Linked DNA regions of Drosophila melanogaster. The protein of the gene in region 2 purifies or fractionates together with the protein of the main gene of each other region. This does not show direct contact. Each region holds a gene or a part of one and is shown on either strand. Other genes may lie near its edges. The genes, in order: fz2 and otk2.

What was found.
Region 1: the proteins of otk2 (region 2) and fz2 purify together in Drosophila melanogaster (affinity purification with western blotting, with the first as the bait; one study listed by BioGRID). This does not show direct contact.

What each region holds. Positions count from the first base shown.
Region 1 is NT_037436.4:19,232,322-19,237,263, forward strand, and holds the start of fz2 (frizzled 2), read right to left. Parts: upstream 3,053-4,942; 5' UTR 2,693-3,052; exon of another isoform or gene 2,484-2,692; intron 252-2,483; 5' UTR 3-251; intron 1-2. Other genes in the region: CG33647 (uncharacterized protein), read left to right, coding at 4,039-4,113, 4,173-4,490, 4,557-4,736. UniProt on the Drosophila melanogaster protein: Receptor for Wnt proteins.
Region 2 is NT_033778.4:12,022,329-12,026,890, forward strand, and holds otk2 (off-track2), read right to left. Parts: upstream 2,945-4,562; 5' UTR 2,561-2,944; coding exon 2,488-2,560; intron 2,417-2,487; coding exon 1,923-2,416; intron 1,835-1,922; coding exon 1,100-1,834; 3' UTR 818-1,099; downstream 1-817. Other genes in the region: Mppe (metallophosphoesterase), read right to left, coding at 3,516-3,703, 3,764-4,271, 4,395-4,562.

The DNA.
Region 1 (4,942 bases), on a different chromosome or scaffold from region 2:
ACCTCCAAAATGAGTTCCTTTGATGTTCTCTTGGGCAGTGTAATTGGTATATTTTGTTTTTATTGGCGTTTAAAATTGCTATTTCACTTGGGTTTATTGTATTTCTATATTTATCGGTTTCGGATCGTATACGTTTGCATTAGCACGGCGCGGAACGGAATGGTTGCATTTTCGTATATTCTATATATAGGCGTTTGCTACATCAGATTGCTGATTATTTTGGCTGGAGAGATCCGCTTGATTTGACGAACCTGAAAAAGATATTGCCAATTAATTGTTGATCACGTGCAAGTGGCTAAAACAGCTATTAAATAGAAAACAAAGGACTTGCAGGGGGCAACCAAAACGCAGACGTGTAGTTTGCTGAAAAAAAAATTGAAAATAGAAAAACACAGACGACAGGTGTGAGTGAAAAGGTGTAACCCGGCCAACAACAACTAAATCAAATCGCAGGAAAATGCCTGCATTTTTCCTCTTTTCCCCTTCCGCCGCCCATCCATCGCTTGGCTGGATCTCAATGGGCTCTGGGGCAAATATTTTAAATGCGCAGATTTTTGGCATGTTTTAGTGGCAGTTCACGTTTTGAATTGTTGCCATGCCCCTCGGAAACGGTCCAACGCTCGTTTCACTGACAATTTAATACAAAAAATGCCAAACATTTTCACAAAATAAAAGGACCAGCACAAAAAGCCAACGTGGAAAAGTTTGGCAGTCGTATAGCGTGTGTTAACCCTTTAAAATACCCAAAAATATATGTGTTCGTACGTGTAAGCCGGGCTATGATAAAAAAGTTGTTTGGAGCGAAATTGTAGGTTCCTTTTTTATGAATGTGCTTTGCGAAGATATAAATGAGACACCAGTGGGTGTGTGGAATAGTTCAAAAGCCATTTGCATTAATGAAAAAGAAAAATATTTCAGTGAAATATTTAATACACTCAATCAGAAGGAAGTAGAGGGAAATTAAAATTAAGATTGGGTTTAATCATTACTTCAAAGAACTAAATAAATATTGCATAATTAGAAATAACAAGAAACAAAAATTAATTATTATTTAGGAAAATAATTAACCAAAATGACCAAATTTCCTATTTATTTAACCCAAACGCAAATATGAATAATATTCTTCGTTGGCCAGAGAATGTAAACATTTCTGCACTTATTGCTTCGACATTCCCTTAGCGTTTTGCATAATTTAACACACGGGTTAGGCTGTGACCCCTGCAAGAGCCACCCCCCGGATTTCCCACCCGCTGAGTCTGGAGCCCGGCCCCGCCCCCATTTCTTGCTAATACCATTCCGCCCCTTTCGACCAGAAGCGGTGCGTGTGCTTGCTGCTCCCATTGAAATGCCAGACTAACTCAATTAGAGTGCGCAGACAGAAGTTGAAGTTGAGTGTTACTTTGACTGCCGGCCAACATGCGAGTGCAAGAAAATATTTATAAATATTTCGAAACATCTGAAACTGCTCCTATTTAAAATGTAGGGAATTAAAGAATGCAATGATGTGGGGAAAAAACTTGAAGACGCGTCTCAATAAACAGACAGCCGGATAAAAGAGTAGGAAACTCGGCAAAAGTATCTAGATACTTTTTGCAGCTAGGTAGCTAGCTATGAGATACTCTCACAAAAACAGCAGCAAAAGCAACAGTGCTGTCTGGCTTGTGAACTCGACTCGTAAATGTACACAGAAAAAAATTGACCTGTCTTGGATCAATTCTTTATTGATTATTTACAACAATCTTATTGTTTTCAACATTATTCCACAAATGCAAAAAAAATCGTTCAAATTTAGACTTTAATTAAAAATAATATTGTCTTTGTTAATGAACTTGAATGAACTTTAATAAAGTGTAATAAGGTGTAATAAGGAAAAAGAAATAAATATTCGAACTTACATTTATAAAAAAAATGTGAAATTCCGAAAAACTTTAACAAAAATGGTCAAGAAATCAACAAGTTAAAAAGTGTATTTTTAGCGTTGTTGGAAATATAAGCTTATGTAAAGTTAAATATATTCTTTTATATTCTGGGCAAAAAAAGCAATATAAAGAGTATTTAGTCCTTTAAAGCTACGTCGAAATATCTACGTTTAACATTTGAATTTATAAAAAGTTTATGTTCTTAAACAAACAACAACTGAAACAAGATGTGTACACTCAAAATTTAAACTTATAAGTGGCTGAGTTTTCCTCCCTGTGTGCGAAAAACACAACAGAAAACAAAAATAAAATGCAAACAACGGAAAAGCGGAAAAAAAGAACTTGGCGTCGTCTGAGTTTAGCTCTCTGTGCTCTCTTTTCTTTTGCAGCTGTGTGAGTGTGTGGCTGTTGTTGTCTTTCCCATTTTCCCGTAGAAAATGTGAATGATTTTCCTTCACTTTCATCAACAGCTGCGCTCACACAAATGCAAGAAGTACTCATTTTCGAATTGCTTTTTGTTATTATTTTAGATACACAAATGAGTTAGCTTTTTCGTATCTTTACCGTTTGGCTGTGTTTTTGTTGTGCTGATTTTATATTTGTTGTGTTTTTGTATAAGTTTATTACTAATATATTTTTATTTGTTTGTATATTTTATTTGCAGATCTCTCGATTTCTCGGTTTTGTGTTCTTCGCCGGCTTGCTATTTTGCAAATGCCGCCGAAATTGCAATCAATTGCAGTTTTATATCTCCAGCTCACACAGATACTCACGCACACTCACACAAACACACACCAATGCGCGACGGCGACTGCGACGCCAACTGCGACTGCGGCGTCGACCGCGCTGCTCACGTCGTATGTCCGTTAATTAAACGCGCGATTTTTTGTTTGTTTCGGTTTTTACATATTATCTTTTCATGTGCTTCTCTCTTTTGTTTTTATTCCGCTTTGTTATTGTTATTAACTATTGTTATCAGCCCTCGGCGCTGCCAACGTCGACTGCGCTGCCTTTCGCGGCTGCTTTTTGGCTTTTTTTATTTCCCGTCTGCGGTGTAAGCGTCTGCGATTTTCACGTTTTTCCTTCTGCCGCGCTGTGTAGTTTTTCCGGTGATTTCCACTTGCCAACTGACTTTCTTCCGACTTTTCCAAACGGCCGGCCGTTGTTTTGCAAAATTCGCAGAGAGAGAGCGATAACGATTAAGAAATGCGGGGGAGGAAAAATAGAGAGATGGAATTACAAATGCGCCGGTCCAAAAAGCTCGCGAAACGATTTGGTAAACGGAACAGAGCTACGTGAAACGTAAGGCCTGCCCGGAATCACGTAACGTAATCACCAAACGAATCACCAAACGTTAATTTTTTGAAACAAGTTTCTGCAAAATAAATAAGTCATTATAAAATATATTAGAGCTATAAATTTATGCAATGTTATTAACGAAAATATTTTGTATGCTAGACTGGTCGAATGGACCAATAAAAAAGTAATTTCGCACCACTTATTCAAAATATGATGAAATCGTCCTGAATCTAACCAAGAAATTAGTCATAGAAATCAAAAATAAATTAAATATAAATGCGTAATAGTATGGATAGCCCATTTAAAGAAGAATTAATAGGTATCAAGATAATTACTTCAAGGGCTTTGATAGAAATTATATTCAGTAAAATCGCGTTCGCAGTAAAATAAAGAAAACGTATAAGTTCTAGCTAAATCATCACTCATCTTAAACCCGTTTTTCTTTTTTAAGAATACAAATTATTTCAATATGTTATTACTAGAAAACTATTATTAAGCTGATTCTAAATGCTTCATATTCGTGCAAATTTGTTTCAGATCTCCCACTCTAATCCGTATTAATTATTATAATATAATATTATAATATATTATAATATAATAATTTTATAGTATTATTTTATACTATTAGTACTTTGCGCATCTCCAACTTGAAAAGTCCAAATAATTTACCGATATTAATGTTCTATCAACAAAAATAAGCAATTACAAATTAGGTAATACACTAATTGAGCACATTAAAAACCCATTTATTTTAAAATATACACACCTACGTGCGTTTGAAATGCATTAGATTTTAGTCTTCAATTAGTTATCCACTAGTATGAACGTCAAAAAGCTTTTTATATTGGTTGACCTGATTCTGGGGACCCTAATCTTGAGCAGTGTTCGTGCAGAGGTCAGTAGTATAGAATCATATATGTAAGTCCTACTACATTAACCTATCTCAACGTATAGAAAGAAGTTTTTATGACGAAAATTGAGTGCCTCAATTATATGCCAGAATTGGTGAGAAACGTAAGCTGCTACTTAAATGAAACTTCCCACCCCACTGGTTCAATATACGCAGAGTTCATATTAACCCAAGATGTTGAGGACCTGAAGGGCATTTACATTTTGACATTTAAGAGAGGTTCATACGTGACGAATTTTACCTCTTCACATGTAGACTATTGTCAGATGCTATCAAGTGTGGAAAATCATTTTTTATTTAGAATGGTTACTACGCAGCTTCGCGAAACCGCCAATTTTCCTATACAATGTCCGTTGAAAATGGTAATTAACACTGGTAAGAAATTGTATAAAACTCTCTAATATCGTATTTTGGAAATTGTGTTTTAGAATAAACGGTATTACGCAAAGGGATTTACAGTTAACTCGAAATTTATACCCAGCTATATGCCAGAAACGAACTTCATTTCGGACGCCCATTTAAGCGTTAAGGATCGCAAAGTATTTCGGTTGCTTATTAAAGGTCGCTTTTCTAGAATACTTCGGCGAAATTATATTAAAACCGAATAGATCACTATATAAATCAAAATGTGTAATTGCAAAATAAATGGATTTTTTTTACTTACAATATTTTTGTTATACATATTTACAGAGAATTAAAGCTATAAATAAGCTACTAAAAATAATCGTTTAGTTGAAATCGTCCACTTTTGTAACTAAAAGCTTATTTAACCAATTGAAGCTAATCAAAGCTGTATTCAGCAAGCCGAAGCTTA
Region 2 (4,562 bases):
CATGCCATACCATACCATACCACACCATACCAATCCATTTGATGGGCGGCTGGTGGAAATGCAGGCAGGGGTGGTCGTAGTCGCAGTCGTTTAATTGCACTTGCCGCTTACTTTTTTATCTGCTGCCTGGTGGCGGAGTAACCTGCGCATGTGTAGTTGCCTTTGGATAACGCCTTTGATGTGTGGTGTGCGCTGTTTATTCGAGCGCTATAAAAAGCCATAAAATATGCATAAAGCACACTGGCAATTGGAGATTGCCAGCATATGCCAATGGAAATGGACATGGAAATGAAGCGATTAAGTGCAGATGCCGGCAATTGAAGGGAAATTGTCGCTGGATATGCTTTAGATGGAAATTCCCTACAAGATGATGGGTATGGGTGACACTGCCTCAAAGGATGGCATATCATGGTGCAAGCTAGTCAAAGAATCCAAAACAAATTGTTAAGTAATTTGGCATTGGAAGGATACCTTTTTCCTATCACAAATATAAGATATACTATTCAACATGTTGATAAACTATAATTGCTATGAAGAAACTTTCATTGTTTTAATTAAACGAAAGAAGAAACGCTGGAATGTCGCGCTATTTTACGACTTTTTATCGGAGGGGGGAGGGAGGGTTGCCTTTATGTGCAGCAAACTTCTCCGTCTGTCATAAAAAGCGCATAAAAAGCCATGGCAGAACACTCATCCGGGTTCCATGGGCTTTACGGCCGTGCCAAGTGGGCTTCCAATTTACGATGGAGCAGCGGAGGAAGTTTACGAGCCCCGCACAACGCTTGTCCGCCGCAAAAAAAAGGAGATTGAAACGATTGCGCTATAAAATGGGGCTCTATGAGAGCCATAAAATATTTATTCTACTAAAAAATAACTGTACATGGGATATATACACAGAGACACACACATGCATAAATACATAAAATATTTATATATATATAAACTAGATAAATATATAAATACAAATAGATTTCTGGGGGATTTCACAAGTTCCTTTTTGATTCTCAACAACAGAACGGAGTAACTTTCGAGGGGCATGTTTAGCGAGATCATGGAAAGTGGCTGAAAGGTTACTCCACAGGCGCAGGAGCACTACTCCTCACACAATATCGTCGGCCACCTGCGACTCCTGCTCCAGTATCGTGCTCTCCCTCAGCTTGCTCTTCAGATTCTTGCTGGAGTTGGCCTCCGTCAGGCAGGGCTCGTTTTCGTGATGGTCGTGCTCCTGACCATCGGTGGGCCCATTGACATGGCCATCTTCCAGCTGCACCTTGCCCAGGTGACGACGATAGCGGTACCACACCTTTAGGCCAAGCACCAGCACAAAGTACAGGAAGGCCAGGCAAATGATCACAATGATAATCCGGGTCACTATTGAATTGGACGCGGATTTACTTGACTTCAACACCAGCAGAACATCCTCTCGCTTCAAGCCCGCACTGCTGCCAATGGTGCAGCCGTAGCGACCCTCATCCTCTGGCCGAACATTGCGTATCTCCAGAGTTCCGTTCTCCATTAGGGAAAAGCGTTCCGGATCCGTGTTATTCTCGTTCAAGTAGGTGAGATCCTTGTCCCATTGAATGGTGGGTTTTGGCTCTCCGATTGCCTGGCAGTGGATCACGGCAGTTCCGGCTTCTGCGACCTCGATGGGTCCCTCCGGCGGAACACTGAACTTCGGGGCCACCACCACATTGATGGACACGGTGGCCGTGATTTGACCCTGGCTATTGGAGGCGATGCAGGTGTACTGACCCCGTTGCTCGTTGCTGACCTGGTTGAAAATCAGCGTGCCATTCTGATCGGTTACGTTAACAGGGAGAGGTAGCTGGGTTTCCTGGAAGGATTGAATTATATGTAAGTATTAAATGTTGCATCATGCAACTTTAATTTGATTCGAACATTCAAAAGAATGCAATGCTTACCCTCATCCATTTGACTTGTGGAGCAGGCGTTCCCTGCGCCTTGCAGTGGACCTTACTAAGAGTTCCCAACTCCAAGTTTTTGGAGGTTGGCTGTGGCACGAACTTTAGTTGCTCAATAACCAGGAGCACCCCACTGCTGGAGCTGGCAGCCACGGAGTCGTCGATGACCAACTGGCACTGATACTGACCGGCATCGCTGGCCAGCACGCTTGTGAATTGCAGGGCGCCACTGTCCTTGCTCAGCGCCACACGGGAATCCTCCCGCAGCATGGTTTCCAGCTGTGGTTCGCTCGTTGTGCTGTCCATCCTGCCCAGCTCTACTTGACGCAACGTTTTGCTATCCTTTCGCCAGCGCAGGATGACGCTGCTCTTCTGAAGATACCCATCCGGCAGTTGGTAGTCACAGGGCAATTGCAACGAACTTTGTTCCTTGATGGTAATCGAGGATTTCGGACCCCTTGAGATGCTCACATCCTCAAATGATGCTGGCGCGGCTGTGGGGCAGATAGTGGAGGAGTTATTGGAATGAGAAGAAAAGATGAGTCAGTCGGCCGACTTAACTCACCGTAAGAGCAGAAGATCAGGCAGAAGAATCCCAGGCCGCAGCCCAACAATCGTCGTCTTCCGTTCAGCCCCATTTCGAGCTAAAGAATTCTTTTGATTTCACTTCGTACTTCCTTCGCTTCTTTCGCACAAAACCGGTGTGTGCTCTTCTTTTCTTCTTGTTTATTTGCCGATTTTTGAAGGAATTCCGTTTGCCTTCGTCGGTTTCTGTTTCAGTTTCAGTTGCTGTTTCGGACTCTGTTTGCCCCTTGCTTCACTTCACCTCACTTCATTTACTCCGCCCGGAGTGGTTTATGGTTATTTTTATGTTACGCACACGCGTCACGCTTTATTATCCTGCCACAGAGGCAGAGCCCGGGGATCTTGCGAGCGATTCGGTTTCAAGGAGACCCACTGATGGTAACGCTATCTCGTGACCAGGGCACAACCTTCCGCGTTCGGTTTCGGAACTCTACTGACGCCGCATCGGGCTAATTTACCGCTGGCAGCCGGCGCACGGTTCGCACATGCGCCCTGTACTGCACCCAGTATTTCCCGTTATTTCTCGTCGGATGAGAGCGACTTCGCTGGTACTACTTTTTTTTAAAGACCTACTACATTTTACGGTTGCTTTCGGTGAAATAAGTAGTAAACGTTAAAAAGTGCGTTTTTTATAATACAAATGAATACCAATAGTATTTTCTTATGATGATTGACATTTGTTTATTTTCGAATTTTATGTATTAAATTTAACAGCTCTATAAGTATAAACCAATGAGATTTTCTTCGAACTGTTAAGGCCTAATTAAATAAATAAATTAAATTAAATTAAATTTTTTAATGAATATGGATGGAGGACATTGGTTACATTTTTTCACTTATTGGAAAACAAATTTAGCACTTTATATCAATTTTCATTGCTACTACTCAACTTTATCCGAATATAAGCTACTTGTCTATAAATACGATTTTAATTCAATTTTGAGTTGTATATTCGAGCAATTCTTGAGAATCTTGGGCTTATTGTCCATGACGAGTGGAAAGTGCAGTCTAAAATTGCGGTATAGTCGAGACGCGGTTATAGAGCGTCTGCCTTTTGGCCACGCGGAAGGGACAACGTGTCATCATCTTAAAGACGACGAAACCACAGACGACGAATAGTCCCCAAAAAACATAGGTGAAGAGCAGGATAAATCGATTTGGCTGCCACAGCACCGTGTAGCTCAGATTGTAGTTTTCTGTAGTCAAAAGCAGGGCATTACTTCCATGGACAATACAAAAGATATTTCCAAACTTACCCAAAACCGCGTAGCCCAATCCGATCTTGGACTTTCCCATGCGATACGAGCAAGTGGGCACCATTATCTCCAGATAGCTGTGCTCCTGCTCTTTGAGGGCCTTCAAGTCAAAATGCCTCACGGAGTTTTCATAAAAGTTGATCACCTTGGTGGAGGGGTAAATAAATATTCTGGATTCATGCCAGTGTCCTGAGAAAATGATATGTGGATCCAAGTCGCTGATGATGGCTCTCAACAGGGGTCCTCCGCCAATGAGCAGCGGGGCATGGGATACGCCAATTCTTAGACGATCCGCATTGTTATCCCTATCCGGGTTGCTAAAGTCCAATAGCATGCGGTTTATCTTGAAGAAGCGTAATCGATTGTCATAGTCAAAGAGGTCTTCACTCATGAATTCGTTCTCAAAGCGTCTTTGGTTCGAGTTGGATATGTAGTCGCCATTCTCGCCGCCAATATCATTGTCACCCGGCACATGGACGCGCTGAAAAAAGGCAGAGATCATGCGGAACTGTTAGGTTTTAAGGGGTCAATCCCATTCGCAAAGTTGTATAATCGCTTTGGAAAAACTTTAAATTGAAATAATTATAGGTGCAACAACAATTTAAGGTGAAGCAAAAGCAGTACTCCTTACTTTTTTGTAGTTCTTATTCTGATAAATTCGTCTGAACCGCTGAACGTACTGCTTGTACTCTTGAGCCGTGGCAATGTTGCCTTCGTCCAACAGATCGCCCAGGAACACTATGATGTGAGGCTGTGTAAAGGCAAGAGCTCGCTCGAAAGTCTTCGCCAGGTATCTATC